Linked DNA regions of Daphnia pulex. The main gene of each other region encodes a partner of the protein of the gene in region 2 in a complex. Links are inferred from orthologs where the notes say so. Each region holds a gene or a part of one and is shown on either strand. Other genes may lie near its edges.

Region 1 (15,862 bases), on a different chromosome or scaffold from region 2:
TGATGATTACATTGTGACTCTTAAATCCTTTAGGAAAGTGGTGAATACCCGATGATCATGTCTGGTCCACAATGGAAGAAATTTCGAAGCAACTTCTGTGACTTCGTTCAAACACTTGTGAAGCAATGCCAATATTCCATCATTTATGATCAGTATCTAATGGATAATGTAATTTCACTACTTACTGGTCTTTCTGATTCACAAGTAAGAGCGTTTCGTCATACTGCTACACTAGCTGGTAAACTTTATTTTATATAAATAGATTTTTTTGTTTCATCTTCACTTAATGTCAAAATATTTGTTTTAGCTATGAAACTAATGACTGCGTTGGTTGATGTGGCTCTGACTGTATCGATTCATCTTGATAACACGTCTCGTCAGTATGAAGCTGAGCGACAGAAAACTCGGGATAAACGAGCCAGTGATCGTCTAGAAGCGTTGCTTGCCAAACACCAAGAACTTGAAGAAAACATGGATGAAATCAAAAACATGTTGACTTACACATTCAAGTCGGTTTTCGTCCATCGTTACCGAGATATCGTTCCTGAAATTCGAGCCATTTGTATGGCGGAAATTGGCATTTGGATGAAGCGGTTCCCCCAAAATTTCCTCGATGACTCCTACCTCAAGTATATAGGGTGGACTTTGCATGATAAAGTTGGTGATGTTCGTTTAAGATGTCTTCAAGCTCTCCAACCGCTCTATGCTTCAGAAGAACTTAAGGGAAAATTGGAACTTTTTACTAGCAAATTTAAGGTGATTTATTTTTATCTAATTTCACTTAACCCCGTCAACAATAATTTGACTGTTTTTTACAGGATCGTGTCGTCTCGATGACACTAGACAAAGAGTACGATGTTGCCGTACAAGCTGTTCGTTTGATCATCAGCATTCATAAGTATCATCGAGAAATATTGTCAGATAAGGATTGCGAGGCTGTTTATGAGTTGGTGTTCTCTTCCCATCGAGCCGTTGCGCAAGCTGCTGGTGAGTTTCTCAACGAGCGGCTTTTCACACTCGATGATACCAGTCCCCCGGCTCTACGTACTCACCGTGGCAAAAAGAGACTGCCTAATACACCTCTCATTCGGGATTTGGTTCAATTCTTCATCGAGTCTGAGGTAAAATTACAGTCAAGTAACAATTCAAATAGGTTAATGACTTTGCAATCTTCATAGTTGCATGAACACGGAGCATATTTGGTCGACTCCCTAATTGATTCAAATGAAATGATGAAAGATTGGGAGTGCATGACGGATTTGTTAATGGAAGATCCTGGGCCAGGTGAAGAGTCTTTGGATGATCGGCAAGAAACAAGTTTGATCGAACTGATGACATGTTGCATCAAACAAGCCGCGACTGGAGAGCCACCCGTTGGGCGTGGACCTACAAGAAAGGTAACTACCACATTATCTTTTAACATGCTCATCATGCAAACACAATAATACGTGTGTGAATCTTGTATTTTTTTCTAAAGATTACCACCGCGAAAGAAACCAAACAAGCCCAAGATGATCGTGTTCGACTAACTGAACATTTTATCCAAACCCTTCCTCTGTTACTCGGGAAATATATCGCGGATCCTGAAAAAGTTGCAAACCTCCTGTTGATTCCCCAATACTTTGATATGGAAATCTACACTACCTCACGTCAAGAAAAGGTTAGTTTCTTTTTATACTAAGTGTGTATGAAATTGTACTCATTGCTTTTATGCGTTACTTCTTGCTTACAGAGTTTAGAATCGTTATTGCGTTTGATGCAAAATGTTGTCGAGAGACACACCGAAACAGAAGTGCTTGAAAATTGTGCCAAAACATTGGAAGTTCTTTGTACTGAAGATCACGCAATCTACTCTCGATGTGACGTCATAAGAAGTACTTTAATCGATCGCCTGGTCAACAAATTGCGTGAAGTTCTTGACGATCATCTAACTCTGATCGCTGGTGTAAGTTTGCCTGCTTGTTTTGTTTTTTTGTTTTTTGTTTTTTGTTTTTTCTCTCGTCTCAAAGAGATAAAGCATATTCTTTGGGTAATAGGACGAAGAGCCCAACGAAGATGAGGTGTTTGCCCTGGTATCAAGTTTGAAAAAAGTTGCCATCTTCTGGTCGTGCCACAATCTTGGACCATGGAATTTGTGGGATCCTCTTTTCAACGCTGTTCGAGAAGCCAAAGATCTAAGCCGGTCTATGCCACCTGAAGTAACACATTATTTAACTGTTTATTTTCACGCAATAATACATGTTAAATGTTTTAGGCTATAAAATACTGCATCTCAGCCTGCTATTCTGCCATTTTATGGGAACTTCTACAGCTGGAAAACGGTTCTGGACGAGGAACGTCTGCCGCTCAACAACAAAAGCAACTGAGAGATCATTTGGATGCTTACATTCCATTGATGACCGAGCTCGTCATCACTTCAAATGTTGCTCTGTTTAGAGAAGAGGTTCGTCGTGTCAGTGTAGAAGTTCGTTTCATTTCTTGTAAATTTTCAATTTTTGCAGGCCTACATATCTGTGTGCGATTTGCTCATATCTTTTTGCAAGCAACTGGAAGACAATCCCCTTTTGAGACCGCTGGTTTATGAGCCTGACCGCGGCCTGCAACAAACTTTAAATGATTTTATTCAGACTTACGTGTTCGTTGAAGAGGAGGACGAAGAACACGACGAGCACACAAAAATTGAAGAATTGCACAAACGCCGCAGCTACCTGTCTAGCTTCTGCAAACTGGTCGTTTACAACGTCCTGCCCATAAAAACTGCGGCAGATGTTTTCCGACACTACGTGAAGTATTACAATGATTACGGTGACATCATTAAAACGACGTTGGGAAAAGCCCGAGAAATCAACAAAGTTAGCTGTGCCAGGACTATGGTTCTAAGTCTCTCCATGCTCTTTCGCGATTTAAGTAGAGATGCCGGAAGTCGTATTGATCGACAATCAGAAGAGTTTTTGAGCGTCAAGGTATAAAATTTATCTATCCATTTAAATCTTATTGATAGTAAACTCACGCGAATACTAAACAAAATTATTTTGTACGTAGGAATTGGCCAAACGATTTGCCCTTTCTTTCGGATTGGACGCGTTAAAAAATCGCGAAGCTATCACCGCCCTGCATAGAGATGCCATTCTTTTTGCCACCAACCCACTCGAGAATCCCAACGATCCAACTGGCCCTCCACCTAATTTGGCTTTTCTAGAAATCGGCGCCGAGTTTACGAACAAATTGCTGAAACAAGACAAAAGAATGGTTTTACAGTTTCTGGACCGGATTCTGACAATGGGAATGCCTTCATCTCGCGGCGAAGAATGGCAACCTCTCTTGTTGTACCGCAATTCCTTGGTCCATGGCGAAACTGATCTACCTCCGCAGACGGCTCGGCGTGCGTACGGAAGGCGTCGACGCGATGCAGGTATGACTAGAATCTTTTTTAAACAAAATACGATTAGAAACTTTAGTTTGCGCTTAATTTTAAATGGAAGAGGAGACAACGCCTTTGTTTGGTTTACAACCTTTTTTTTTTTGTCTACCTAATGTTTCGATGTAACGGTAAAAAATCAAGTGTGAAATGCACCCAAACTTTTGCCTCCGTTCGATCATGCACGACTTGTCGGTTCGTCGTGTCTGCAATTCTCGATTGAATTGGCGTTATCTGACACAATTACTTATGTTCACCGCACTATTCTTATACTTGCGTTATTCCATTCTGAAGTTCAATTTCCCTTCTTGGCGTCAATGTGGGACAACTCCTTTTATCACTTGATTGCCATCACTGTAAACCGAATAGCGGCACCTAGTTTTTTTTAATATAGCGGGAATCCGGGATCGAATATGACGGATCTATTTGTTTCGTTGTTGACCGTTATCAACCGCGTGCAATTCAATGAGCGCCTCGATATTGACGCGAGTTCAATTTTATTTGTAGGCGGGGACGACGGTGAAATCGCTGATGATAACGACGATGCCGGATCAGATCAAGATTTTGCTGGGTAATACGTATTTCCTTTGGTTTGCTTTTGTATAAATGTTTACACTTCATTGATTTTGCAGTTATTAATCTCTCGCTATTCGGAAAAAGTAATGTTGCCGTTTCGTCAAGACGTTCTCCAACTTGATTGCATTTCCCTTTTGTCAGCAAGTCTTCTATGATTGCTTTTATTTCCCCCGTTTTTATGTCTTCTTTTAAAATAAATAGAAAAGTAACAACAATAATAAAAAAAAAGAAATCGCGCTTTCGTTTCTCCGACTTCTATTTTGCGACTATAAAAACGCTTATAAAAAACATGCTACAATCATCGCAATAAAGGTTGCGATATTCCTTAAACACACGAATAGTTTGAGATTATTAGCTCAAAATTTTGAGATCGAAAAATGAGTTCCCTGCTTTCATTCTGCTATCCCCCAAAGTGATTTATCAAATATTAAGTAGGCTCGAACCGTACAGAAAATAATGTCTTCTCTTAAAATAGGCCGCAACATCCTAAAACACAATATATGTGTCAGCCTTAGCTTGACCGACTTATTTCCTACCATTGGGCAACCAATGATTTAGCTGATCTGTCAAAAAAATTCTTTCTCCAACTTAACTTGATCGTTTTTTTTTTCTTGCCACCGACTCTGCGGCGACACCATTCACCCTAGCCTATTAGATATGCAATACAATCAGCTAGTTGTGATTTTGTTTGAATCGGCTGAAAATATTTCGAAGATGCACCTGGCAAAGAGAGAATTTCACACTCTGCCACAGACATGGCTTTGCTATGTAGGTCGAGGAGGAATTCTAGCTGGTCGAGGAAGAGCAACAGTGCGGCACGAGTAAATAGAATTAAGTAGGTCATAGCACTTTAATAGAAAGAGTCGCAGCAACTTAACGTGAAGACGGGACGAATGAAACGCTGGATCATCAAGGTGTACAAGTTAATCTTAGTTGCTTAGTTCGGTTCTCTTGACTTATTTTGAGTTGAAGCTGACTTGACAATTGAAGCTACCTCAGCAGACAATTTTGAACACACTTCCTATACAGTTATATCAATATTATTTTTTTGACTAACATTCTTGTAACGAAATGACACACTATTAGCGTGCATGCCTAAATTTCATAGCGTGAACAGATACACACGCTTGTGTGATCCGTTCACACGTAAATATTAGTAAGAATTTGTTTCGACAGAAATGCAGAAATTTTTCTTTTTCATTGATAAAACATTGTTTTTGTCAAATTAAATTAAGCGATAGTTCTGGCGAAAAATAAGCCTTATTCTATTAACATTTAATAACACTTCCTATGCAAATTTCTAGCAAAATCAAAGAAACTGCTTACGGTATTATATTCTTCTATTTTCTTCATTTCAGTGAAAATTTTTGTTCTTATGAAACACACCCTTGGACGACAACGTTATTAAAAATAGGCAGAACAGCTAATTAACAAATTAAACTTTTCTTTTTTTCTTCCCCCTTTTATTCTTTTTTAAATGGCAAGCGATCGCAAGCGATACAATGAGCCTGTGCCGAAAACGAATTAACTTGGTTCCTAAAAGAAGAATTGATCTTTAGTTGGTAAGAAATCAAAATAAAGAAAGTCTTGACTTTTTCTTCGTAAAAATACGCGATCTGCACTGAAATACAATTTAGCCTGTGGGGCCGGTCCCCGTGTGTCGGGCTGCCGGCACGGTATAGAGCCAAACATAAAGTAGGAAGGGCGAGTAGCGAGGAATAGCTTTAGGCATTAAATGCTAGACGGTGGCCTATATATAAAGAAAGGATTCGTATCACCTGTGTTTCAGTCGGTAGCAAGGATCACACTCTGTTTGAGGGCTTCAGAGTGTGCGCGTGTGAATCTTCCAGTTTTTGTTTTCTAATCATCCAACGTAAAAAATTCTGGTTTCTGAACTTGTTTGCCGTATAATTCGTCGCCCTGAGTGATCTAGAGGTAACAAGAAAAAGTGAAGTCTAACCTTTTTATGAGGACAGCCAGTCCGAGCAAGTTTTTGACATGAAATGATTGTGTAACTTTATGTACCTATGTTGAGTTGGAATTATTATTTTCGAAATTTTTCTAGTTGATTGCTAACTGATCAAAAAAGAATGAGTGCCTTTCTGAAGAATGTCGTCGACGGCTACAATGATTTGATGATCAACAAACGAGGTAAGGAATCATCCGTTAGTTTATCAGCTGATACTCCCCGCTTGCGACATCATTGTTTAGTTGTTAGGGGCCGATAAGTGTAGAAATACTTTTTAGCGCATGTACGAAAATAGAATGTTGCATTATTTTATCCTCCTCATCGTGTCTCGAAGAATTTGCGGAATGGAAACCCCTATACCGTAATGGTGAACAGTTGTGATACTCCTAGTCCATTGACCTCATTCGTCGATGACGGTCTGTGGTTAAGTCTCTCAGAGTATAGTGACCCCATTCGTATGACCGCTACTTTAACGGAACACGGCCAAATCTCTTCGAAGAGAAAACGTTGGTAAAGAATCCGTCTATCTTTCACGTGAGAATTCTTCAGTTGGCTTTCCCCAGAATTCTGTACTGCTTATGTTTAATGACCAGTGGCTAATTCATGCATTTTCTAGAAAAGTGAACACCAGTCGATGCATTTATTAGAAGAAAACATTAACTAAAATTACCGTAATTTCCTTTTTCTTCAAGATCCTAGGGTCGACGGATGGTTCTTAATGAGTTCACCTGTCCCAACCCTGATCATCTGCTCTTGCTACATCTATTTCGTCAAATCCTTGGGACCGAGGCTAATGCGCGATCGGAAACCCTTCGAGCTCCGTTCCGCCATCATCATTTATAATGTCATTCAAGTTCTCGCCAGTATTTACTTGGTGTACAAGGTATGAAAATCTTTATAACCTTTGACCATTTCCTTACTGGGCGACAATTTCATTTGATTTTACTTCCTTTTTTTCTCTTTTTCTGTCATTTCGACTCTTCCGCTAATTCAGGGTCTGGTTCACGCCTGGCTGTTCCGCTACAGCCTCCGCTGCCAACCGGTCGACTATTCCGACGACCCCGACGAGTTGATTGTTGCCCAAATGTGTTGGTGGTATTACTTTTGCAAATTCACCGAGTTTCTGGATACGGTTTTCTTCGTCCTGCGGAAAAAGTTTGATCAAATCACCAACCTCCACGTCATTCACCATAGCATCATGCCGGCAGCCGTTTGGTGGGGTGTCAAGTTCACCCCCGGTGGCCACGCCACATTCTTTGGAATGCTGAACACTTTCGTTCACATTATCATGTACACTTACTACCTATTAGCCGCAATGGGACCAAAGTATCAGAAATATTTGTGGTGGAAGAAGCATCTGACCACGATGCAAATGGTTCAGTTCATCACGGTCTTTTTTCACACGGCTCAACTTTTCTTCATTGAGTGCAACTTCCCCAAGATTCTTGCATATATCATGTGCTTTAACTCAATCATGTTTTTAAGCCTTTTTTCGAACTTCTACATCCAGGTACTGTCAAATGAAAACTTAAGCTTTTTAAAATTATCTGCAGCACGGCAGAAATTCATGTTTCTACTCAAAGAAATCTTTAGAATTGAATGCTAATGTGATAACGATTGTTTTCTATTGCACAGGCTTACATCAAACGCCGCAGGCTGCCAGCTATTAAAAAGGACGATGACCATGATGACACCGCAAAGAACGGAGTGAACCTTCGCAACGGGAAATCTAATGACAAAATCGCCAACGGAAAAGGCAACGCCAAAGCTGAAAAGGAAAGCCGTGGCGTCGGAAAGATGATCACCAACATCATGTCCAACGCATCCGCCGCATGCTACATTGGTCAAAATGGTCTTTACCAATCCAACGGCAAAGCGAAAGGAGCTGAATCTTGCAAAAGTAAAGGGTATTCCAATGGCCATTCTATAGCCGAGAAGAAAAAATTTTAAGTTCTGCAGCTCAGTTCCAACTTGCCAAATCGAAATTGTCAAGTAACACCTCCTCTAACGTTTGCTTCGTTGTTTTCAAATTCTTACTCTTTTATATATTGATCTTATGGGCCATTTTTGGTTATCAGATATTAAATGCTCTTGCATTTTGTTACAACATTAAGGAAACAAAAAAAAGGCAAAAACACACGCTAAAAGTTTTGGAAACGGAAGTGTATATATGCCGAAGAACAGTTTTATTCAATGCATACGTGGTTAAAATGTTGTTGACGTCGGCTCAATACAAGGAGATTTGATATTCCAAGTTATATTTCTATTTTTCCATAACTGATGCCGAGCTACCGGAATCACCATATGTTCAATATTATTATACCCTATGCTGAATCATCGCGTAACGGAACATGAGCGACGAAGACACGGAACCGTCCAGAATGAAAGCCGCACAAAAGGGGGTCAGTATGATTCTAGGTCACCAATACACTTTCTGGTGGGTTTTCGAATTCTTTTGTTCGGAAAATACGTTCCCTAGCACTCAAGTGTCATCACTGCAAATACCGTGGAGGTGTATAGAAAGTATATGGAGTCGCAAGAGCTATTTTCTCTTTAATTTCGAGAAAACGTTTCCGACACGGGGAGTTTTTCATGTTGCTTGTATCATTCTTTTGGGGAAATCCAAGAAACATAATAGAAAATCCAAACATTTTCCCCGTTAGAATTTTCGGCTACTTGACGGTTGACACAGTCGGGTTGTAAACATATTTCATCATTTAGTTTTCCCTCCCGGAGAAAAGATGACGAATCGCGTGAAGATTGAAGTATTGTAGCCTAAGCAGTTATTCATAGTTCAGTCATTTAGTTTCAGTTATTTCCTTTGTATGAGACAGACAATAGTTAGTGTTTTGTTCTCCATGTACGTACATGTCCTCTACCAAGAGACTCTCGGTGGCCTCGTTACTAGATTTTTAAGATATTTAATTTTAATTTTTAAACAAAACGAAACAAAACCCAAAAATGGCGTCGCTGTACAACAAAACGGTTAGCCAGTCTATTATTACGTAATCAAACTAAATGTATTACGTATATCACATGGACATCGTATTTTAACGTCGCGACAGACTATACATCAGGGAATACAAGTAGCCTACGTTAGATTCTTTCTGATATCCAGATGGCTCCTTTGCAACCAATTTTCACGGCTTGGGCGAACACCTGATATAGGGGAGCCTCTTCGGCCTTGTGCAGGATGGCCGTGTCATGATGCTCCATTTCTTCGTCGCGGAATTTGCTTATGACTTTCAGTAATTCACCGTTTTCTTCTGGGTTGGTCATGAGCTCGCGAATTTGGTCATTATAGTGGTCGGTAATGACCGTCTCCACAGCTGCTGTGCATGCCATGGCCATTTTCGGCCCCAACAAGGCAGAACCTGACGACAAAACGGGTTTGAGTTGCTGAAATAACAATTAGCTATAAAACAAGACAAGTACCAGCTCCTAAAGCAAAACCTGCCACATTCCAAATGGGTAACATCACAGTAGGTCTGGCACGGTACTTTGGAAGAAGTTCATCAAACTTTTTCCTGTGTTCCTTCTCCTGATCCCACATGTGCTGGATCACACTTCCTACATTGGATTTCCCTATACAAAAAAAAATCATTCATCCTTCTTATATTCATATATCCATTAGGGCAAATACCAAGAACAGCCATTTGGCCAGCGTAAATTCGATCGGCACCAACTTCACCAGCATGGTCAACTCGTAAAAATCTGTCTCGTGTAATATTTTCCCTTGCTTCCTTAGGTGATATTTTGGTTGATGTAGCAAATTGGCGGAACAGCTGAGGGATCTTCTGTGGTCTATAAGTCATTCTAGTATTTCAAATTTAAAAAATAGATCTAGAACATTTTTTGCATTTTACATTTCGTGTTTAAGTTTACCAAATTTTGCCGGAATTACATCATAACAAGGGGTTAGAAACATATTAATAACTAATGCCTTAAATGATCCCCTTTGGCCCGTTCGGTAGAGAATAGCGAAAAAACATTAAAACACCAACAGCGACTTCAAGTACAGGTAAAATAGGTTGTGAAAGTAAAGCACACAGCTACTCACATTCCAGATGGTTATGCAAGAACGAAAACACAGATTTTGTCAACAAACTGAGCTCACAGCTGTCAGCTATCGACTGCTTGCTATGCTTGAGGGCGGAACGATCGCCGTGTTTATAGCTTGTCGGATGTTTTTTTTTAAACAATATTTAATAACAGAATCAATCGATGGAGCTTTACAATCCAATTTTAAGTATCCATAGCACTCTTATGGTAAAATTAGTGATTTATAAGATTTTTGCGTTCCAATTAAGGGGGAAGGGAGAGGTACAGGTCGTTAGCTATCTCCACCTAGCGCTGAATACTTTAAGCAGTTATCCTGGCGGGGATTGTCAACATCATTCCAAATCCTAAGCAGTCTTTTGTTTTGTTTACCGTTATATTCGTTAATCCTGTTCAACTGTTCCTATCCTGTAAAATCAGTAAAACATTTCGTCCACTTTATTTTATTTTCGCTTACTTTTTCTATCCGCTCTGTAGCCGCTTCTTTTCTACAGTCGACGTAGTCAGGGCTCGAGCTCGAGGCGTCGAACTAGTTAAAGGGCAACACTGCTTCCCACTTTCCCAGTTCTCACGGAACTTTGTCTGCAATTCTGTTTTTCAGTTAGTTTTTGGATGAAGGTTTTTGTGAATGCGTCTTTGTTAATTGTTACTTTGTTAGGCTTCCGCGTTTAAGGCGTTACAGGCCGGATATAGAATCCATACGATCTGTGTGGTAACTAACAGCACAGATGGTGAGGCTACCATCCCATCTCATCACTGTGCAAATAAGTTTAAGCATGGTGTAAGTGGTTTCAATCATCAATCTTTCAGTGATTTCACGCAAAAGTTTGCTTTTGTTTCTTGATCTGCGTTGCATTAGCTTTTTTGTAACCTATTTTAAATCAGTCAATTCAAAGAAAAATTGGAACAGCCCATGTGCCCAGATCACATTGGTTCAGGAAGTCGTAGATTGTTTCGCCTGCGTTGGATTTTTAAATCTCCTCTAAGAATAATTAGTGCTAGAGCAAGATTTTGTTGTGTGTGGTTATTATTAGGTCAAAATCATCCCACCACTTACTGCAATGCAACAGCAGCGATTCTTGGCTTTTCATGCTCAGTGTGACTGTTGGTGGTGATGTAGAACAAGAACTTAATGAACTGAACTCAAAAGTTTAGTGACAGCAACACCTATCTATGTGAACTGCCAGATGCAATGTTTGCCTATTGTAAGAAGAATTCAAATCTGCAGTCTATATGGGGATTGGCGTGGACTACATTCCCATTTCCCACATCAGGCAACAAAATGCCAAAGAAAAGCCAGTGAGAATAACGTCAGTGTTGGTGTAAAAAAGTGCGAAATAGACGAAAAAAACCCAGTTTTTTCTTGCGTTTTTAAGGTTTTTAATGGAGAAGATAGTTAAGACTGATAACTTTCAATCCTTTCATTCAACATCTTCTACAGCCAATCTCTTTCAACATGAACATCAAGATTATTGAGTAAGGCTTTAGCAACTTTTGCTGTTTGTTTCTTTGTTTTGTTTTGTTTTTCATTTTGTTTTTCATTTGAAAAGGCTAATAATTTGTTATATTTAGGTAACAACAATTGCTATCTTGAACTCAACAAAGAAGTTGCTAGAGAGGAATTTCAAACCATAGTCAAAGTTGAAAAAGAAGAAGTTGACTGCTCAACGCAATAAAAAAAAGAATGACAAAATCGAAGGTGTGATCGCCATCATATTTGAGAAAATGGTACGTAAACTGATCAACAATTTATCTAAGCTGATCATGATTTTTCAATGAATAAAGGTATTTTCCTGGTGACCAACTGAACAGTTCCTCAAGTTGCGAGTCTTGCGCTAGATGTTTGATGTCGCTGCCACGCTTCGTCGAACTGGATTGTTGGGATCGTCCAATTCTTTTAATCTACCACGAATTACTCAGTATGACTTACGTCGACGATCAGTTAAATTTTCGTTGGGAAGACGATAAACAATACGCTTTATCTTACCTGGTCATTTTGTCCATTGAAAACCACTGTTCACTCTGCAAATGGAAATCGTTGATATTTTAAGATGTGTTTGGCGCCAACGTTCTAATAATTGTTATAATAATTCCACAAGTAAGTTTCAAAAAATTTCGACAACCCTTTTTCTTATCTTCCGTCGCTCATGGGGAAAAAAATTGGTTTCACCCAATCGTAGGACAGATAGAAGCGGTCGCGTTCTTTGCAAAGTTTTAAAATCCGGTGCATTTTTTGCGATAATCATAGACCATTTACTATCCTTTTTAGGTTGGAAGGTTCCTACGCAACGGTCGAAATTCTTGTGAAATGTCCTCTTCCTACGAGACCAAAACCGAAAAGCTAATTACTCTACTAGAGTCCCACTTCTTTCTTTCGTATCCTCAGGTATTTTTAAGAATCAATCAACTTTTTTCATTCAACTTCATTCAAAATGTTTAGTCATCAGATTTGAGATGTGGACAGTGGACCCTATTTGAAGAACAAATTGCTCAACACTCCTGTCACTCACATCCTCAGCTTTATCTGTGTCATCCTCCCACATCTTTGACAAAAATTCCAACTTTTTTGCCCAAAAGTTGTGGGTCAGGCCTATTGGCCCATGAGGTCAGGGGGCCAGATCTCTAAGCTCTGTGAGAAATCATAACAAACGTGTTGTGTTGGGTTTTACAAGAGCTCCTAGTCAATCCGGTTGAACAAATTTAGTTTCACCCGGAAACTTCTTTTGGTTTTTCCATGAAATTTATGGTAACAAATGCTACCTATCAAAAATTAAATTTTAATTCCTCATTTTTATGCTATCCTGAAAATGGATAGATTTGGAACTCGATGAAGTGCTGTCGAGTTTGGACCTTGGATCGTTCTTTCGGCTGAAGAAGATCTCGATTTTCTCGGACGGCCCGGCACAATAGCTCGCGTATCTCGTCCAGAAGCAACTCGCCTATTCACTCCCGCCATTTGGTGATCCAGCGAGGAAACCTTCACTCAGCCGAATTTTCCAATGTCGCACCAATGGAGATCGTGTGCACCATTCGACATCGGAATCCACTGCTCCCAAGTCAATCTACTGGACAGTGTTCTGGTAATCGGCAAAGCATTCATTTCTCCAATTGAGTGATTATTTGAAATTGTCGCGAATTTATTTGTTATTTTTGGTTCATTTTCTACTCTTCGTATTATTAGGGAGCGCCTATAAGCCGCATAATTCACATTTCCGACTTAAGCGTCAGACAGTTGGCGTATTGGCCCAACCGAAGCCAATGTAGCCAACGGCATGAGCGCAAGTAACAATGGTTCCATGGCCGCTGTAGAAAGTCTGGTGCTTCCACGGCCAGTTTTAGTGTTGGTAAAGGTACGCTACCGAATTGCATTGTTTTTATTTATGTTATATATCTCCCCCTTTTGTTAAATCTTCGTCGTAATTATTAAAACATTTCATCCAGGATTTTCCATCTCTCATACCGTCGGTATATTACAGAAGTAGTCAACGGTCGAGTACAACATTGTACAATAGAATACCGTTCGGTACAAACTGCTGCCAGTCAAGCAGGGGGAGACACTGTTGTCTGTTAAAGTGAGTTTTTAAATTGAACCTGAAGAAAAGAAGAATGCAGGTCATCTATCATCTGTATCCTACATTTACGATATTCTGCTTAGTTGATTTAATTCTATGTAGTTTTAATAATTCCTCAATTTCTAAGAAACTGTTCTTCTATTAGCAGTTGTAAACTAAGTGAATTTAGACTGAGACAAATTCAAAATATCCAACTAAAATTCCCTGCATAGACGTGGTGTATGTTTTATTCTAAAGTTTATACTAATTCCTTTTATTTCTCCTTCAGGTCTGATCTGAACTATGGAAAATATTCTGTCCAGGGAATGACGCCTTAAAAGAAAGAACTGCGGTTGCGATCTTCAACAATCTTGCGTGAGTCATTTTTTTTCTGCTTGTTATTATTTGTGTTTCTAATTTTAGTAATTTTAGTAAGTCTCGATTAGCTAGAGCAGGGATCCTTTTCATTTTACTGTTTTAAATTTTAAACATTTCTTGTTTACAACGCTAGATGGCATTACGATTGCTTAGATTGTTTTCAGCGTTCTAAAAACATTAGTTTCACTGTTTCAGTAACTTTTACTATACACAATTATTTTTTGTTTGCAAAACTGAAAAAAAAATCATCGATGAATTCTTCGTCAACGTCAATTTTGTTATGTCAAAAAACAGTGCAGGAAGAATTCATCCCGTTAACGCTATTTCGTGTGCCCTGACACCCAGGATACGAATTACTTATAATCTAAAATTGAGCGAAGATGGTGGACGAGAGTAGCAACCCAGAAGCTGCTCACCTCTAGAAGGCGTTGAGCGAAGATGAAATCAAAGTAAATTGCAGTTGGTTCCGTGTCCTCCACTGCAAAATCAGTCGCTCTGCTCAGAGCCTGATTGAAGTGATTGACGAACGATTGACGTTTGGTAAATTGGTCCACCCATATGGCAATCATGAAATTGTGAAGTTCCCTTGATGGATTTAGCCGTAATAATTTTTTTTAAATTGTTATTGTTGTGGCTGAGAGCCTGAGACACTGAAGATGACATCTGGTGGCCAGGTTTGTCTTCAGTTGTTGGGCGTAGGCTAGCCCTTTAGCCCCTACCTTCTTGGTTCTTTGTTAAGTTCAGGGTTTCTGAGAGAAAGAGTCGCCATTTTTAATTGTTTGGGGTTTTGATGTTAGCTTATTAATTAGCTTGATTGCTACTTGTTAGGCATTTTTTAGAATTTGTGATGGGTTGTAGTTGGTTCGGTTTGGCGCTTCGTGAGCTTGCTATTATTCTTGGTATAATTGATTCGATTAAATTCTATTCATGTGCAATGAAAGTGGCCTGAAAGTGTTTAATTTCATTTTTTATTTGTAGACGAATTTTGATGCTGAAAGACTTGGAAACCATGCTGTCCACCACGTCGAGAAACTGAGTAACATTCTGTGTGTTCAATGGTAAAATTAACAATTAAACTGATTGATATACATTTGAATCATAACAGTTGTAATGTTTGATTGCAGGCTCCTCTTAATAAAAGGAACTGGAGCCATCCAATCTAGGGCTTCCACCCAATCATAGGCTGCATGGAAGTCACATTTACCTTTGCTTTGACGAACATCCTGAACACATACACCATTTGAAGGTGACAATCTTATTATCCAGTTTAGATTTTACAATTAAAATATGATTAAGCTTTGCATTCATTGGTTAGTTTTAACATTTAGGGATTTCGTCAAGTCAACAGCTATTTCCTTCAGTCATGTGTTCTGTTATGGATTTTTTAAAGGGGAGTTTGTTGTAAGCAAGAAAGGCAGATACTGAAAGAGGTTTTGTTTATTTGTTTCACTTTAGAGTATTCTTTAAAGTTTAAATTAATTTTGTATTTAAATCTTACATGAGTCATCTAGTTTCATGTAAATTTGAGTTTCAACGATAGGTGTAAGTTAATATTGCCATATAATATTTGGGTTGAATATTTGAAGTGATACAATGTAGCATATTTTTTTTTTAATTTCAAAGCATTTCCAATGATGCTGAAGATTTATTTTACTTTGGTTATAGGTTCATGTTTACATAGCAGTGGTGTTGCTGTCCAATGTGGCGTGCAGCCTATGGTGGTGAAAGATATCTGCATCAAGTTGCTGTTTCTTGTGCATCCAAGGTGCTGGTTTTGTGCTACAGAAGTTACATCCAGTATTGTGTTTTATTGCTAATTGTTTCTTTGCAGTTTACCTTTTATATATTGAGAAGGAACAAAAAAAAATAATACGGGGAGGTTTATGTCAAACAAATAATAAACATGTCCGC
Region 2 (16,523 bases):
TCAGAGTCTAAACTTGACCCAAGTGCGTCACATTAAAACAGAATCGGTGAGATCCATTTTTTTTCTGTCCAATAAGTCTTATGTCTCTAAGAAAAGCAAACAGGGAGAGAAGAAAAGAAAAATGGACCAACCCGAGGGGGGTGTAGAATGGATTGGATTCCAAGAATTGAGGGAAGAATACGTAAGGAAGAAGAAGTAAATCAAATCAAATCAAAGAAAAACGATGTCCAATATCGCCACGGTCAGCTATCCCCCCCAGAAAAAGAAAAATGGTCCAACAAATCAAAGAAAAGCAGAATACGACTACGCACTACACCAGGTTCGACGTTTCAAGTCGAGTGTGAACGAAATGGAAAAACCAAATAAACGCCAAAGCAAAGCAAAAAAGAATATTAGGAAGGCCGGGGGTGAGGGTCCGTGAAAAGTTCCGAGATCGATGGCAATCACGTAAAGATGCGCCAAATAAGGCGGACTCTCCTTGCCGATGACTCCCGCAGCAGTCCGAGAGATATATAAAAATAAAATAAAAGGTCGATGTCGAAAGAAACACGACAACAAAGTGGCGGGGGGAGAACCTGAGGAACCAGACCGAGACTGCTACATTCAGTCAGACAGTATTTGAGAAAGGAAACAAATAAAACGGAGAGAGAGAGAAAGGAAAAGCAAGTAGATCTAGTGAACTTTGCGAACCGAAGCGACGGACATGATTCTGCCATCGAATCATGGAGAATTTTACAAGGATAAAAAGAGGGAAATGTAAAAAGAATCACGCAATCGCTTTCTGTTTATTTTGTTTGTTTGCTCTAGTCGTCGACTCGCTTCAATCGGATTCGGAAAAAAAAAAGAAAAAAGTTTTTTAATAGAACCGGGCGACGTGTGCAAAAAGAAAAGACAGAAAACCGGATACCCATCTGCGCTGTATCGGTATCTTGATACCCCTCCTATCCGGCATTATACGGAACATCCAGCTCGTCTTTTGAATCGTAAGGCGATTTGTCAAATAAAATCAAGAGGGACGACCAAAATTGTACAAGGTCTAAGCGACTGGGACGTGACGGAAGCGCGCGGATGACGTCGGCAACCCATCGGGGGCTCGTTCCGCCTTCGACCAACGCCCAGACTGCAATAATTCATCTCGTCTTGGATCGTTAACAAACAGCCCAGCGACTCGTGGAGAAATTACACGCCATTTTCTTTACGACGCACCAAGTCACCGCAGTCGTCGACTGTCGAGTCGTCAAGGAACTTGAGAATGTCACGCCATCATTTCTCTTTGTGTCGGACGCCGTACCAATCTACTAATGGTTATGAGGACTGAAATGAAAGTCAAACCCAATTTTGAGCTCCATCATAATTTGTACATCATCGTTGACAGCAACGAAAAAAAAAAGAAAAATAAGAAAACATGTACGTTTTACAAGTGGGGGGGGGCACACGGAGGAGATGGAAAGAACGTTGGGGGAAGGATTGGTGCAGTCGCCACGGCAGTTTCATTTTATCGTGAAAACAGAAACTGTTGCACATACAAGACAAGAGCCGTTCAACCTAAAAAAGACTGGAGGAGTTTGTTCCGGGCAAGATGTGTAGCCTAAGAGAGGTGTGTATAAGAAAAGCAACGAGGCGGAGAGGGAGGTAAGACCTAAAATCGGCGCGATACACACACTGACATACACGTCCATTTAGGGAATATTATTATTATTATTTTTTTGTAACTTTTATCTTTATGTTCTTCTCGTAAAATGCCCACCTGGACCCAACAGTTGGAATCAAGACAATTGGGGCGAGAGAAATACAGAAGAGGAGGAAGAAAGAGAAGTTGGACTGAGAACGACGCAGCTGGTTTGGATTACACATGGCGGCACGTCTAAATGTTGTATCAACACAACAAAAAAGAAATGGGCAACAAGAATTCAAGTTGAACATTTCAATAAAGGAGGAGGGGTGGGCCTTGGAAGTTTGGGAGGGAACAGAATCGGTGCCGTGCAACAAGACAGACCCAAGAAAATAATAAAAGTTTGCGCACGCGTATGGAAGATGTTGAATATCAAACAGGATTCATTTTACTCGCGTGAAAAATAGAACAAAGTGCTCTCGTTCCAATCCCCTTTTGGCCCTCGCTTTTTATGTTGGGAGGAAACAAAAACACGACTCGTTTACCCCCCACCCCCATAGGCATCTGCATTTACATCTCTTTCACGTCAGTCCTCGACAAAAAAAGAAACATTTTCATTTCGCTACAATAATAAAACGAAAATATCCCGAAGGAAAGGAGCCCACCAAGCACCAAAGTGAAAAGATAACGAGAAATCGAATTTTGTTTTTTTCCCCTTCTTGCTCACACTGTCGCCAACTTAATCTCATCTCTAAAAACTTCCATGACAAACAATTTCGTTTTCACGACAACAATGATGACTTTCCACTGCAGATCCAAGAAAGAAAAAAAAAAGATGGGGACAAAAATAAATAAAACGAGGAATAGGCCTATTTATTGTCTTCTAACTGCCTTTCACGTTGGGAGTAGGAACAATGCTCTGCCAACGGAATAGAAAGAGAAGACAAGAACTGCCATGTTCGGAAAAAAAAAGGGACTCCTTTGAACTCGTGTGCAACCATGCGGGAACGGACAATCAACCCCCCCTTCCCCTTGTTTGTTCCCCAAAGGAGGAATGGTGAGATTTAATTTTCGCGATTTCTACTTCCAGGAGGAGGCAGAGAGCGAATGAAATGGATGTGAAGTTGGAAGAGTTTTTTTGGAAAAAAAAACTCGGTCAAAAGTAAAAGAAAAAGGGAATGGCTATTTTTTGAAACGAATAAAAATGGAGAGAGGGTATTGATAGAGACTGTCAACATACATTTCGATCATGGATGAGAGCTGATGGCGAGGAGGGGTAAAACATTCCGAGAGGTTAGGGATACCGTTCCGTCTAGGAGGAAGTGGCGGCAGCTCCGTTGGCAGCGATGAGAGGTGAAGGATCTTCGGCTCTTTGATCCTCGAGTCGACCCGATTGGAGTCGCATTATCAACGAGAAAAAGTCTTCGTCGGGCATGGTGGGCCCCCTGTGCCGCCGAGGCGATGTATCCGGCAAGGCGCTGCGCTGATCTTCCAGCCTCGTACCCTACACGATGAAAAAAATAAAAAGTAAAAAATCATTTTAAAAAGTCGTTCGTGAAAAAGAAACGAGTACAAATTCGGCCAAAAAGGTGGAAGAATATCTAACCTGACACCGCATCAACATTTCGAAGAAATTCTCATCGGGCAATGCGGCTGCATCCTCGCCGGCTGGCTCCACAGACAGCCGACGTAAAATGTCTGGATTGGCGTTGTTCAGGCCGGGTAGTCGCGGTAGTGAAGCTCTCTGCTCATCCATCCGGCGACTCTGCATGCCGGCGATCAGGTCCATTAAATCTTCCTTCAATCTCGACGGGCTCTCTATCGAAACAATATGCGAAAAAAGAGGAAAATAAAAACACACTCCCTCGTAGAAGCAGGCAAACGAAACAAAACTCGGGGCGACGCCAGGAGCGCGTATCCCCCCTCCCTGGTTTCCCTGGAAAAACAACTCACCGTGAATATTCGACGGGAGTGTACTTGCTTGTTGGTTCTCCTTGTTGTCTACGATTGCCAACGAGCAACGCTGATCGTCCATGCGTTTCGATTGGAATTGAGTGACCAAATTAAAAAAGGATTCCTCTTCATCCATGGCGTCGTCTCCGTTGGCCTATCGTATTGCAAAACGAAATGGATTCCGGTTAGCAACAGGGTAGTAACGGACAGAAATAGAGAGACAAAAACAACAAGCGAGACTATGAGATGTGACAGTTGTGATAGACTGGCAGCGAAAGAAGCAGACAGACGAACGAGCCATCCGATAGAGCCGGATCAAGAGAGGATTGTTGAAACTTACAAACGGGGGCAGCATATCACGTCTAACCAACGGGTGACCAGCGAGCGGTCTAGGCCACACAGGATCCATTTCATGCAGTTCCCGGCGTCCCTTGCTATGAAGTTGTTTCACATCCGGCGTCAGCTGGATTAATCACAGTGCAAGCAACCGAAATTGAAACGGACCAACGAAAACAATGATGACGGTAATAAAAATAATAATAAAATCGCCATGCTGCAGATTTTGCCAAGAGAAAAAATAGAAGTTTTGGAAGGTCTCCGGTAGATTTCCCACCTTCCCAAGTTTGAACGCGAGGGTGCGGTATGCGAGAAAATAGAAGCCAAGAATAATAACAAAGCGACAAAAGCGGACGAACACAAACAAACCTTGAGCAAATCCATGCGCTCCATGCTTAACCTGCGCCTTGCCTTGCTATCTGCTCCGTAGAGTCCGTCGTCGTCGGCCTCGGAAGCGTGACCTTTCGTTGAGTTTCCCATGCCGCCGCAACCACCGTCGCCGTCAACGCCCAATGTGCGTCTCAAGTCGGCCAAGTTCATCTGTGCTGTCGCCTCGCCGGTCGGATCGCCAATCTTAGAGATGGAGAAAAGAGGGTAACGGTCATTTTACGCCATAACCATTAGTCCATTAGTAGGTCGGTTGATTGGTTCGTGTTGGCTCACCTCGCGGGATATTTCAAGGTGCCGTTGTGCGTAGTGCAGGGCTTTCTCGTGATTTCCCATGGCAGCGTGTGCATTCCCCAAGCTCCAGCAAGCACGTCCTATTGGTGACGGTCACGAAACAAACCGGAACAATGTTAATGGCGATCACAGGGAAGAAAGATTTTCCAAATTTAAAAGAACAAACAAAAAACAACCCGAAAGAAAATGAGCACCGAGTTCTCAGCACCGACTAACCTTCTCCAACTTTATCCATTAGCTCTTCAGCAATACGCAAGTGCCGCAGATGGTAATCGATGGCTGTGGGATAATCGCGAAGCAGAGTATACGTATTTCCCAGGCTGTAACAGGCTTGCGCTTCGACGGCTCGATCTCCGAGATCCTGTGCAAGTAGGAGTGTTTTCCTGAGGGAGAGGGGGGTAAATTGAATTTGAATGGGATTTCTTTAAAGTTTAAAGACGCTCGACGATTCCGTCCTTTTCATACGCAAATTACGGAAACTTTCGATCAGTAAAAAGGAAGTCGCTGTATTTACTTGTAATGTTCTGCAGCCGTTTCGAACTCTCCGAGGAAGATGTGCGCATTTCCCAGGTTGCTGTGGGCTCTCCTTTCGGCTGCTTTGTCCCCAAATTCTCGAGCAATATTCAGTCGCTAGAAGCACAATTGAAAAAAGAAAGTGGGCGATGAAAGAAGATTTTTCGCTCACGTAAACCACGAATAATTTGTCCCGATTGTATCGATTTTAATCTCCCTAAGCCTTCCCTATTAAACCTTCGTTTTTTTTACAACCCATACACACGATATCATAAGATATACATTTTTTATAGCCAAAAACGCTCACCTCTTGATGATATTTTATGGCTTGCGTAAAGCTACCCAAGAGATAATGGGTATTGCCCAAGTTCCCGCATGCCCGACCTTGGGCAGCACGATCGGTTATTTCTCTCATGAGTTCAAGATTTTCTCTATTAAGACGAAAACCAAAAGATAATGTTAATCAGAACGGGTAAGTAAAATCCAATCTCAACTTCCTCTTGGAAAAAATAAAAACTCACTCGTAATAATTTACGGCTGTTAGCAGGCAGTTCCGCACGTCTTCGGGAAACTCGCCTGGATCTTGTTGACCCAGCCGGCCGAGATGTTTTCCTTTCGCATGAAAAACGTTCCCCAAGTTATACAACGCCCTTCCTTCTCCAACCTGGAAATGCGTGGGAGCCATGTTTACATTAGAGGCGACGAAAACGATATTAGGAGCTAAAAAAAACTGTACTTTATCGGTAAGCTCCCTGGAAATGTCGAGGTGTCTTTTGCAACAGAGAACAGCTTCATCGAATCTGCCCATTACTTTCAATGTGTTTCCAAGATTTCCACTGGCTTTGGCTTCACCTAGTCTGTCACCCATGGTTCTGTAAAATATGGCAGTTTAGAAAATAAAATTTAAATTTTTCCACAATTAGAACCAAACAAATATAGTGTGTGAACAATTACCTGGCTAGAGTAAGATCATGTTTGTGATACTGCATGGCTTTGGTGTATTCACCCAGGTAAAAATATGCATTTCCAAGTTGTGAGTAAATGGCGCTGAGGGTCCTCAAGTCATCGGTACCAGCTTGAATTGCTGCTTCGAAAAAGGCGACACCAGCTCTGTGAGAAAGCAAACACAAAGTTACTGACAAGTGTGTTTGATACTACGTATGAATCACAATAAGTTTTCCAACCGACAAGCTGATTTCCTCTAGGGCAAAACAACTTGGCACATGGAAAGTTTCTACCTGCAATCACCAGCTTTGCAAAGACGTTCTCCTTCTAACGCCAATTCAAGGCATGTGCTGTTATCCATGTCTGTCATTTTGTCAGGATGATTGTGTTTTGACTCAGCGAAGCTAAATGTTGACTAAGAAACACTAGTGTATAACTTTTCCCACTGTGTTGAGAAGTCGGTAAACCTAACGAATAACAAGACGAGCGTCTAGGAAAGCCTCGACTTCAGGAGACCAACTGAACGACTGAACTAAGGAACGTCCAGTTCAAATTCAAGAGACTCCCGACAGAGTATTGATTGTCGAGTTGCGCGCGGCTAGACTCACTGGTTGCGTTGCTTGCTCTTTTTCCACGAAGTAAAAATAAAAACATATGAATCAAATGCGTGTGACAGTAGGCTAGAATTCAAACCAGCATAGCATTACATCAGTCTTTAAAAAAACGTTGGCAAAACTTTTGAAAACTAAGACAGTACGTCTCGAATAAAACGAGACAATCGCAGAAACAAACCGCCCTTGTCTTTATTCCGCGCAACTTTTATTTCAATTCGACCAAACGACCGTTGGAGTGGATAGTTAGCATGTGGCGCCAAAAAACCAAGGCTAAAAGCCCCTGGCGGAAAAACAACTCACCACTAGATGGATCACGGACGAAAACGATTTTTGAAGCTATTTAGCAGACGAAGTCAAGTTGTTTCGTTAAAAGTGGTTTTACTTGTTTTCTTTTTTTTTTAAATTATTTCCGTGTTGTTATTCATGGATGATTACGTGAGAACCTACTTTCGGTGAAGGAAGAAATTGAACATTCACAGCTGCTGATTATTAAGGAACAAAATGTTTTTGAAGAGTTTGATTACTCGTCATAATCGAGTTGCTGTTCATGCTTTCATCGAGCGACAGTACACAACGACGACCCAAATTCCCTACATTTGTAAGTTAAAATTTGCCTTAACTCTCTTATGCACATAATTTAACTGGATGTTTGCCCTACATTGAATTTTCCAAGTGAAATGGATGAAGTCGGAAACAACAAAGAAAAGCGAACCTTTGTATGATGGGCACATTCCCATAAATTTGCTTCAAAGAGCTGTCCTTTCTGTGGGTTCTAGCATTGTGGCGCTGACAGATCCTGCAAGAGGAGGTGACGAGAGCTCAAAAAACTCAAAAGGCCTGAAAATAAGTTTCCTTTTGTTGATCCGAAATTAGACATGGTCGCTGTCAATGGTGAAAGTTCTGGCCACTCTGCTCTCAAAAAGATGCACAGAAAGATGCTGGAAAGTGAAGAAGGCCGACAAATTCTCATGTAAGCAATCTTTCCACAGTTAGTTATCAAGATTCTAATTTCTCATTATCATTGCCAACCAGGGGGAGGCCTAGAATAAACTCGAGCACAATAGACATTGAGAAGCTCAAATCTTACCCAGACGGAACTTTAGGAAGAGAATACACCAAGTTTCTCGAAGTCAATGTAAGTCACAAAGTTACAAAGCCGTCTCGCAATTCGTGAGCATAAATCTGACTAGATAAATGGGGCTGATTCAACAGAACGTCAGCCCGGATACGAGATTGCCTGTCCGCTTTGTTGACGACGCCGACTTGGCTTACGTGATGCAGCGCTACCGCGAAACCCACGACCTGGTCCACACTTTGCTGGGATGTCCCACCAACATGCTAGGTATAGTCGCATTCACGATTGACCGGCAAGTTTAGATTGCGCTGCCTTGGAAATGCTCCTGAAAAGCAAATTTCCTTTTTTTTAATAGGCGAAGTTGCAGTCAAGTGGGTTGAAGCCCTTCAGACGGAATTGCCCATGTGTATCGGTGGTGCTGTGTTTGGACCTATTCGCTTGAAACCAAAGTAAATAGACAATTCATTGCCTCCGTTTTTCCTTCACACTAGAACAACGAAAAAAGGACAACATTGGCAGCAAACGGTAGAACAAACAAAAGAGACTAACAAGTGGACAGATCGTTTCCAGCCAGTTAATTAAATCCAGCTGTGTGACAACAATAGGAAGCCCTTTTATAAATTTGAATTGAGTCAACTGATGTAATAAGAGCATCCTCTTTTTCGTTTTCCTTTTTTCGTTGGGTCTCCTCTCAATTTCTTTTCTCTGCGTCTCTCCCCCGTGTGCGGTTGTTGTCTCTCGTTCGGTCGAGTGTAGCACGCTGAGCCGCTTTTGTCTCCTCCCCAGGACTAATGAGCTTCTTCTTCTTTTTTGTTTTTCTTTGCCCGTCTTTTGTCAATTATTATGTTCGTGCAAGGAACCGGTCGACTTATCTGAGCAAGTACTTACCGTGGGCCATAGGCGTGGGCTCGAGGAGCAGCTTCTTAATGAACGTCTTCTACGAGCGACGCTGGGAACAAGATATCGCAGAATTGCGTGACGAATTGAAAATCGAAACTCCACCTGGGGTTTGATAGGTCCGCCGCCTTCCCATTGAGACCGACGTCTGCCGGATGCGGAGACACAACACTGAACCCCCCGCGAAGATGCGCCACCACCCTCACTCTCGCCAACAAATTTGGACCCTTTCAGTCTCTAATAATTGTTGTTTTCTTTTTCTTTCTTTCTTTCTTTCTTTCTTTCTTTCCCTCTTGTCGTTTTTATATATTTCCCTACTCTCTTGATTGGTACTTCTTCGTCCCATCCGAGTGTCTCTTCTCCCCTCCGCCAGCCGGGGGACCTGGCCTGATGGGCGCCCATCATTTTCATAGAGAAGAGAATAGAATTGGCCGACACAATGGACGGCTGATTGAATACATCCTCGCGCGTTGAAAGAATTGATGTCTGACGCGTGTGTTATTAAATAGATTTGTTTTTTATTTATTTATTTATTTATTGCAATGCATCCAGCCACAGCAACCGCACCCGGCAACTCGCGCTTAATTGAAATACCAAAGGGATCGACGGCCGGCCGGCCCTGCAAGTCATCATGGAACGAATTGCCATTGGAAAAAGTTGGGAACGGGAGCGCAACAGCCTAGAGAGAGAGCGGCGTCATTCACGCCGCCCGCTCTTTCGTCCCTGCATGCTGTACCAAGGACAAATGTGATCGACTACTCTACTAGCGACGAGCCTCAAACAGAAAATCAATAATATCTATCAAGTTGGTGACGACAGTCTTGCGAGTTCAACCTCTTTTTCTTCTTCCGATTTCTTTTTTTTTTCTTTTCGTGTCCCGCTCGGTGACGCGCCCCTTTTCTCTCGTTGACTTAAAGTTAATTCGCGTCAAATCAGATGAAAGTCTTGATGGCCCCGCCAACGCAACGGTCACTCAAGACCCCACGAGTGGCACTACTTGGTCAAGAAACTCAAGACGGACAAATTTTTTTCGGGAGAGCACGGATGTTTACTTCCTTCTTTTCGCCGGCCAAACCAACTGCAACCGGACGTACATTCTGGGTTTAACTCTATAACACAGTCAATTCGTTTACCTTGGATGAATTGTCGTTCCTCTTGAACGGATTCGGGCCAGAGCCGGCACCGACGACGTACATATATCCCGCGCCTTGTGTGTAGAAGAGGCAATGATTGTTCGTGCTGCTGGTCGCCCAACTTGCCCGGCTATACAAATTCACTTGACTGTACCGTACCAGCAAGATTCGTATTGAATATCACTCAGTGTGTGCCCAGTTTCGGGCCGTTCCGCTTCGTTATCGAATTGCCGGCCATGTGCAGTCAAGTGATGAGAGCTGCAGCACAACGGGCCTCCTCTCTAATTGAACCCGAAAAAATGGGGTCGAACGGGCCGATGAAAAATGTAATGGCGGATAAGATGAATCCCTATCCAACTTTTTTTTCTGGGTGGGGGGGGGGGGTGGCTCTGATCCTTATTGTCATCATTCAAAGCAGTGTCTCTTCTTCATTTTCGGCCGAGATTTCCAGTTTTTGAAGGAAGCCTAGCGCGCTATACACTGCCTTGATGCTCTCATTCAAAGTCAATCCGAATTGTTGCCTAATCTCGACTGCTGGGAATGGAATATTAATTAACGAAGTAAATCTTCTTTGTCCCTCGTCAACTACATTTTAGTGTGTACCGTTATAATGTCTTGGCATTGGGCTCTTGTCATCTTCTCGTGGAGACTACTGACAATGTCGGCATAAATATGCCATCGTCCGTATCGACTGGGTGTGTCCTCCGAGACTGTGCGGGTGAAACAAGTGAAGCTTCTACAACATAGAAATATCCATCCAGCAGCCTCACAATGACAAAAGCCTAGTACATCTTTTGTATGGTCGAGTCGCAGTTCAGAGAATGTATATAAAGGATGATTCCCCTTGACCCAGCGCACACTGGATTTCTCCACACTCGAAGGACAGCAGTTTCGTAAGAGAAAATGCTGGGCTCGCTCGTCATCGACAATGGCCCACCGCCCATCCTTCCACCGCATCTTTTTGGCCGGATGCCGACCGCTGGAGCGTTGCGCTGGAATCTCAAGGCGCACAAGATAACATGACTTCATTAACTGTCATCGATCCCACGCGGCTGCGGCTGCATGCGTCCGTCCCGTGTTGTCTATGATATGATGCCGATATGCAGCAGCAGCAGTAGCGCTGGTCTTCTTATTTATTATTTGACAAGAGGATATCGTAATGTTGAACCATTGCAGCTGCATCATACAGTTTCTCTTTTCTCTGCAGCTAGAAAGGAGAGCAACAGCGTCCTCCAGGGGAAAAGAGATGACTAACAGGATTGCATGAGAAGAACGAGCTGATGCAGCATAGTATAAACAACCCCGGCTGCTAGCTGCTAGCTGCTAGCTGCTAGCTGCTATAGCCTGGGTTTCCTGAAGAAGTAATGTGCCCGGCAGTTTTTGACGTCATCAGAGTCGTCGTTGAGAGACTGACCCCTTTGGAAAAGTCAACGACGTACACGTTGTACCGAGAAGAAGTCACGACTCGCAAATGTGCGCCACTCACGTTATTATTGCGACTTTCTCAGCGCGCGCGCGGGGGGCAAACTGATTTCGCCGTGATGGCGTTTCAATTCGACTCACGCTCCCAACTCGAAATAAATGACTCAGCTTGAACACACGAAGCCCTTCTTCTCTCGTCCCGCTTAACTTCATCAAGTGCCGTTTCGGCACAAAACAAAAAAGTGCCGTCTCTCTTTATCTCTCTCTCTTCTTTTCTATTTTCCATGGCTTCTTCTTTTTTCCCCATTTGGATTTTGCGGTCGTTGTCGTCGTCAGTTAAAATAAATTGAATCAAAAGAAAAAAAAATCAGAAGACAAATAAGTCGGAATGAACTGGCGTCAATTTCATTTTCTTTTAATTCTTATCAGCCCGAGTTCAATGTCGGACGGTGACACACGGACTGCTGAACGACGCTCGTCTCTAATCGACTCACAATTTCCGGTTGAGAGCCGACCGTTGACAGGCCCATCCAGCACTCCGCGCTTTCTTCTGCTGTGCGGGATTATATCTGACTGGCGTCGTGAGCGGAGAGAGAGAAAGAGAGAGAGCTATGGAGCACATTCTTTGTGAATGGCTGATGCGTGTGTGGCGTGTGGCGATTTCTTGTCTTTTGTCAGCACAAGTTGGTCGACGACGACGACACAACTTGGCATTATTCGTTTCTTCTTCTAGTCTACCGACTCCCGGTGTTGTATATGGCTGCTGGACAGCTCAGCTTTGTTTCTCATCATGCAACAGGAGATTAGGCAGCCGGGCGAGAACCTTCATTTCATCAAAAGTGTATATAGGGCCAAGCGGACCAAGCCTTTTTCTCTTTGAATGGGTTGGACCCCCTGACTGGCCCGCGGCAATCTCTTTGACACAAGAAACGGCCATGACAATACTACTCTCCAACAGAGTTGGGCTTCTATTATATCGCATCAAAACCCTTCACAATAATAAAAACTCCACCGAGAGATGATATTAGTAATAAGGCGACCGAGAAGCAGCACTTTCGTACGACATTTTGTAGATTTGACGTCCAGAATCCTCTTAGTAAATGAACTCCTTCCAAGGATCTTATATTTATTCAATCCCGTCATATTTCCCCGAATGGTGTAGAGACTATTATTAAATTTCCAGTAAATGGCCGAGTCAGAAGGAGATGATCACATAGTTCAACAGGGTCAACGGAAATGATTTACCGGACCAGACGAACTTGGATCTCGGCAAGTTCAAAAGCGGATTATGACAATTAGTAGTGCCCACAGAGCTCACAGACGTATAGAGGCATCAAACTTTCAAGGGCTCGACGCGGCTCGACGGCTAAAAAGCAGCAGCAGCAGTGGTTTATTAGCATATATCTATCGAGTGGGTAAAAGGAGTGTGACAAACAGGGTTTGTCCGCCCGCTCGGTCACCGATGAGCATTCGGCCGTCTCTTATATATTTCAATCCGAGTGTCACTTGCACACAACGCTCAGCCCAGCCCAGCCGCCGCTCCCGACTGAACATCTAGGCAAAGAGAAGAAGAAGAAATTGATGATGGCGTGACAAAACCTGATGCCAGGGAGTCACCGAGTCCACTATAGCTTCAAACAGCTTTTGACATTGACGGTCTTTACTTTTCATTTCTTTTTCTTTTCTTGGCTTCTGTGTGCTGGCCGTTTTGCCCGTGAGGAATAATCGGAACACACTCTGCAAGAGATGCCGCCCCCGGTTGATGGGTGATCATCCAATATTTGCCCAGGGTGTGGCAACTGTGATGTTGGCGAGAATGGCCTCTCCCGTTGATGTGTACACGGCGAAGCTAAACTAAGATACAGATGCATGTCTGGGCCGCGTCACATCCCGTCCATATTCTCTCGGATGGATTCGGGGTGGCGAGTCAAACCACCAAAATAAAAAAATATACAGGACGATTTGTAATCTCCGATGATGTTTCCACTTTCTTTTCTACCCTGGTTGTACACACAATACGTTTCTACTGTATAGCTCGCACACAATATGTACTCCTTTTCTACGCAGATGTAGTACTATCAAGAAAAAGATGTGGAAGTAGCTATAGTACACATAAGGATATGGGAAAAATCTTTGTACTACACATATAGATATGATATCCCTCGTCATTTTGTTTGCTATTTGTATGCCAGGCTGCACGCTCAATCCCGCGGAATGATATGAGAGCTATACGTCTAGTACTATACTCCATTTTTTGAAAGCTGCCGAATGAAAAACCTCTTATCGATTTCTCTAGAAATATTCGCGCTCTTATATTTCATCGAAAAATACCGTCGGGCGGAATGTACGTGGAGTAGTATACTCGGTGCGCTGCCACCCTCCGTTATATCATTCACAGCACCCAATATCTACAACACCGTCACTTTTATTTTGTATGCCATTAGAGAGTTAGTACGTATAGACACTTTGGCCGAGAAATATAAAGTGGAAGTCCCCTCCATCAAGCGATTATATGCAAGAATATATCACCTCTCTTTGAAATCCACTTCTGGCTCTCTCTCTCTCTTGACAGTGCATTGCCACATTTGTAAACGCTCAGTGAGAGGAGGAGCTATATAGACTATCTACACACACACGTGTAGTATAGGACGGCGATCAGGGGCTTTCTCGACGTTTTCATATACAGCTTTTATTACCATTTTGTCATTTGAATGTTAGTCTATAATGCCGGCTTATGTATACAGTCCCGCTCGTTTCTCTCTTCGTCTCTCGTCTCTCTTGTGTTGTGTATGTGCGCATCTGCGCACGCCGTGTCCCCCCCTCTGTGAAATTCATTGTGGTCGATATTCCCGACCCGAGAAAAAAAAATTCATAATATGCTAAACTCCTTGTGAATATGCGGCGGCTAAAACTCCGCTATACGTTTTGATGATTTGCCACATTGACGTCAACATTTCCCTTTTTTTTTATTTTTTAAAAAAAGGCGCCCTGCTGTGTAATATAGCGGCAAAGATAAATCCCGGGTGTATAATACATATTAATAACGAATGCCTTTGCTGCTGCTCTATAATAGGATATGATGTGAGAAATATATCCATCCCCAATAATAATCTGAAAGAATGTGATGGGGTATTTTCAAGCGGTTATTATTACAGCATACCGTATGCCGAGTAGTAGTATAGATCTCTATTCTATATATAAGACGCAAACAAAAGTAGAATTCTAATCACAAATCTAATGAAGAATTGATAGATTTATTCGGACTAACTAACTTTGTGGTGTATATACTATATAGTCGTGATAAGAAAAGTTGTCTGCGATTTCATGATGTTGACCGTTCCAGAATAGAACGCGCAGCACAGCAGTTCAATACATCACTGCTGGCTGCTGCTGTTGCGGGAAACTCGATCTCTCCTCCCGGCCGTCATCAATTTGATCCACATCGCCCCCGAAGCTATCATAGGCTATATGTATATAGAGCCCATACAAAAAAGGGGATTCAATTGTTGTACAACCATCGGCCGACTGATATGTGCCAAAGGAAAAAAGAAAGATGGAGCATATACACAATAGACCACCCCAGAAAGAAAAAAAGGAGTAGTACAGTAATACATCATCATTTCTTCTTATTATTATTATATGATTCCACAACCAGCAACTTTATAGTCGTGTTTTCTCCCCATCTCGAGAATTCGCCGGGACTGTCTTGACTATGTAACCACCTCCTCTTCTTCCGTTTACTCAGACATACATCAAACTGTCACGTATGGCTTACCCACAGCACACACACAAGAATAAAGGGAAATGGGTGGCACACGTAATATGTCCATATAGGCCTATATCTTTGTCGGCACGATATTACATTCCCCCCCGGCCATAGCACCGAGAGCAGAAATAATAATAATAAAAAGTCCAAACTCGTGCTGCTGCTGCTGCTCTCCTTTACGTCATATACATTTTTTGAATCGCATTTTACGTAATGGGCTGTTATTTTCGGGGCCACATATAAGAAAGTGCTGCACTGGACATGTACTGTGGCGTCTATTATAGTTTATCAAATCCAAACTATTAAAAAAAAAAAAGATAAGCGTCGGGAAAATGAGAAATACACACAAACACGAAAAAAAGGAAGAAGAATAAGAGGCTTTATACACGGAAAGATGAGACGATCCAGCTGGTGGTGCTGTGCTGAGGATTGGCGACTGCTGGAAGAAGAAGAAAAAACCCCTTCAATAGACGACGACGTAGGATATAAGAAGACTGCCGAATGAAAGGGGATACTCTGTGAAAGGAAAATGATGGGGCTGAACAGCCACCAAACAGCATGTATAAGAAACTCGCCGGCAAAAACCTTATTGATACGCCAACGTTCGGGAAAAAAAGGGGAAAAAGGAAAAAAAAAACCTTTGCGCTTTGAACGGGGAGAGCCTCGAATGTCAACATCAGAGTTATAGACCAGCCAACGCAGCAGCAGTGTCATTATTTTAGGATCTTTCTTGTACAAATAAAAAGAGCGAAATCGCTTTTTCTTGTGTATATGTATTATATATATGAAGAAAATGTGACGTTATTTTTTTCCTTTTCATGTCTATTCGGCTCTGTTATATATTCTTATTGGTTGGCTGGCTGGCGCTAGCCAGAGTCTCTGTGTATTGGCTGCTGCTGAGACTCTTATATATATTATAAGACAGTATTTCAGGTAACCAGCCAAAGGATTTGGCAGTATCCTCTTTTTGTAATTAGTGCGCATCACGTGTAAGTCTCGAATTAGGAGCTAGCAGAAAAAGGACGGCCACTTCTAGGAGAACTTTCTCTAACCCCCCCCGGCCCCCCGTCGTCGTCGTCCAATTCCGCCGTCTGCAAAATCAATTATCGAACGAGAGCTCCTGATGCGCTGCTGCCACCACTCTCTCCGCTCTTGTATGTTATCTAAATGGCGTGGATAAAGCGTCTATAACAAGACCAGCAACAGACTGAAGAAGAAGGGGAAAAAGGAGCTGTATGTACACGCCCTGTGACGACAATTTTCTGCACGACAGGAGCAGTACGTCATCACCCACTTTTCGTCACCCCCGCCAATGATCGAGTGTTTGAGAATGTGTTGAATCAATTCGTGGAATCAGAGCGGGAAAGCAAAAGATTTTCAAAACATGTAAATAGATCACTCTGCACAGCAGGATTTGAGTAAGTGTGTGTGATTAGCGCAGTGAATATATAAGGTCTAATAGAAAAAGGAAAACAAATGCGCAGTAGATATAAGAAATTTTCAATTAGACTAGAAAGTAAAGTTTCATTTTCATCGAGTCCCGAAAAAACTTACACGTCCGTGAATTCATAATCAA

What was found.
Region 1: ubiquinone biosynthesis protein COQ4 homolog, mitochondrial-like (region 2) and 5-demethoxyubiquinone hydroxylase, mitochondrial-like share a complex: the UniProt entries of both Homo sapiens proteins name them as parts of the multi-subunit COQ enzyme complex. The link is inferred for Daphnia pulex from reciprocal best matches to the Homo sapiens genes COQ4 and COQ7.

What each region holds. Positions count from the first base shown.
Region 1 is NC_060017.1:4,141,348-4,157,209, reverse strand, and holds 5-demethoxyubiquinone hydroxylase, mitochondrial-like, read right to left. Parts: upstream 10,120-15,862; 5' UTR 10,024-10,119; exon of another isoform or gene 9,849-10,023; intron 9,780-9,848; 5' UTR 9,779-9,779; coding exon 9,607-9,778; intron 9,549-9,606; coding exon 9,399-9,548; intron 9,338-9,398; coding exon 9,060-9,337; 3' UTR 8,965-9,059; downstream 1-8,964. Other genes in the region: cohesin subunit SA-1-like, read left to right, coding at 34-238, 308-756, 819-1,121, 1,179-1,397, 1,478-1,660, 1,733-1,945, 2,037-2,198, 2,255-2,443 and 4 more; elongation of very long chain fatty acids protein-like, read left to right, coding at 6,085-6,145, 6,656-6,846, 6,958-7,473, 7,599-7,913. UniProt on the Homo sapiens protein: Catalyzes the hydroxylation of the 5-methoxy-2-methyl-3-(all-trans-polyprenyl)benzoquinone at the C6 position and participates in the biosynthesis of ubiquinone.
Region 2 is NC_060018.1:4,003,354-4,019,876, reverse strand, and holds ubiquinone biosynthesis protein COQ4 homolog, mitochondrial-like, read left to right. Parts: upstream 1-6,957; 5' UTR 6,958-7,155; coding exon 7,156-7,252; intron 7,253-7,327; coding exon 7,328-7,462; intron 7,463-7,527; coding exon 7,528-7,624; intron 7,625-7,686; coding exon 7,687-7,789; intron 7,790-7,866; coding exon 7,867-7,996; intron 7,997-8,084; coding exon 8,085-8,178; intron 8,179-8,585; coding exon 8,586-8,742; 3' UTR 8,743-9,130; downstream 9,131-16,523. Other genes in the region: G-protein-signaling modulator 2-like, read right to left, coding at 2,925-3,116, 3,219-3,430, 3,566-3,719, 3,906-4,028, 4,271-4,474, 4,565-4,662, 4,799-4,965, 5,097-5,212 and 5 more. UniProt on the Homo sapiens protein: Lyase that catalyzes the C1-decarboxylation of 4-hydroxy-3-methoxy-5-(all-trans-decaprenyl)benzoic acid into 2-methoxy-6-(all-trans-decaprenyl)phenol during ubiquinone biosynthesis.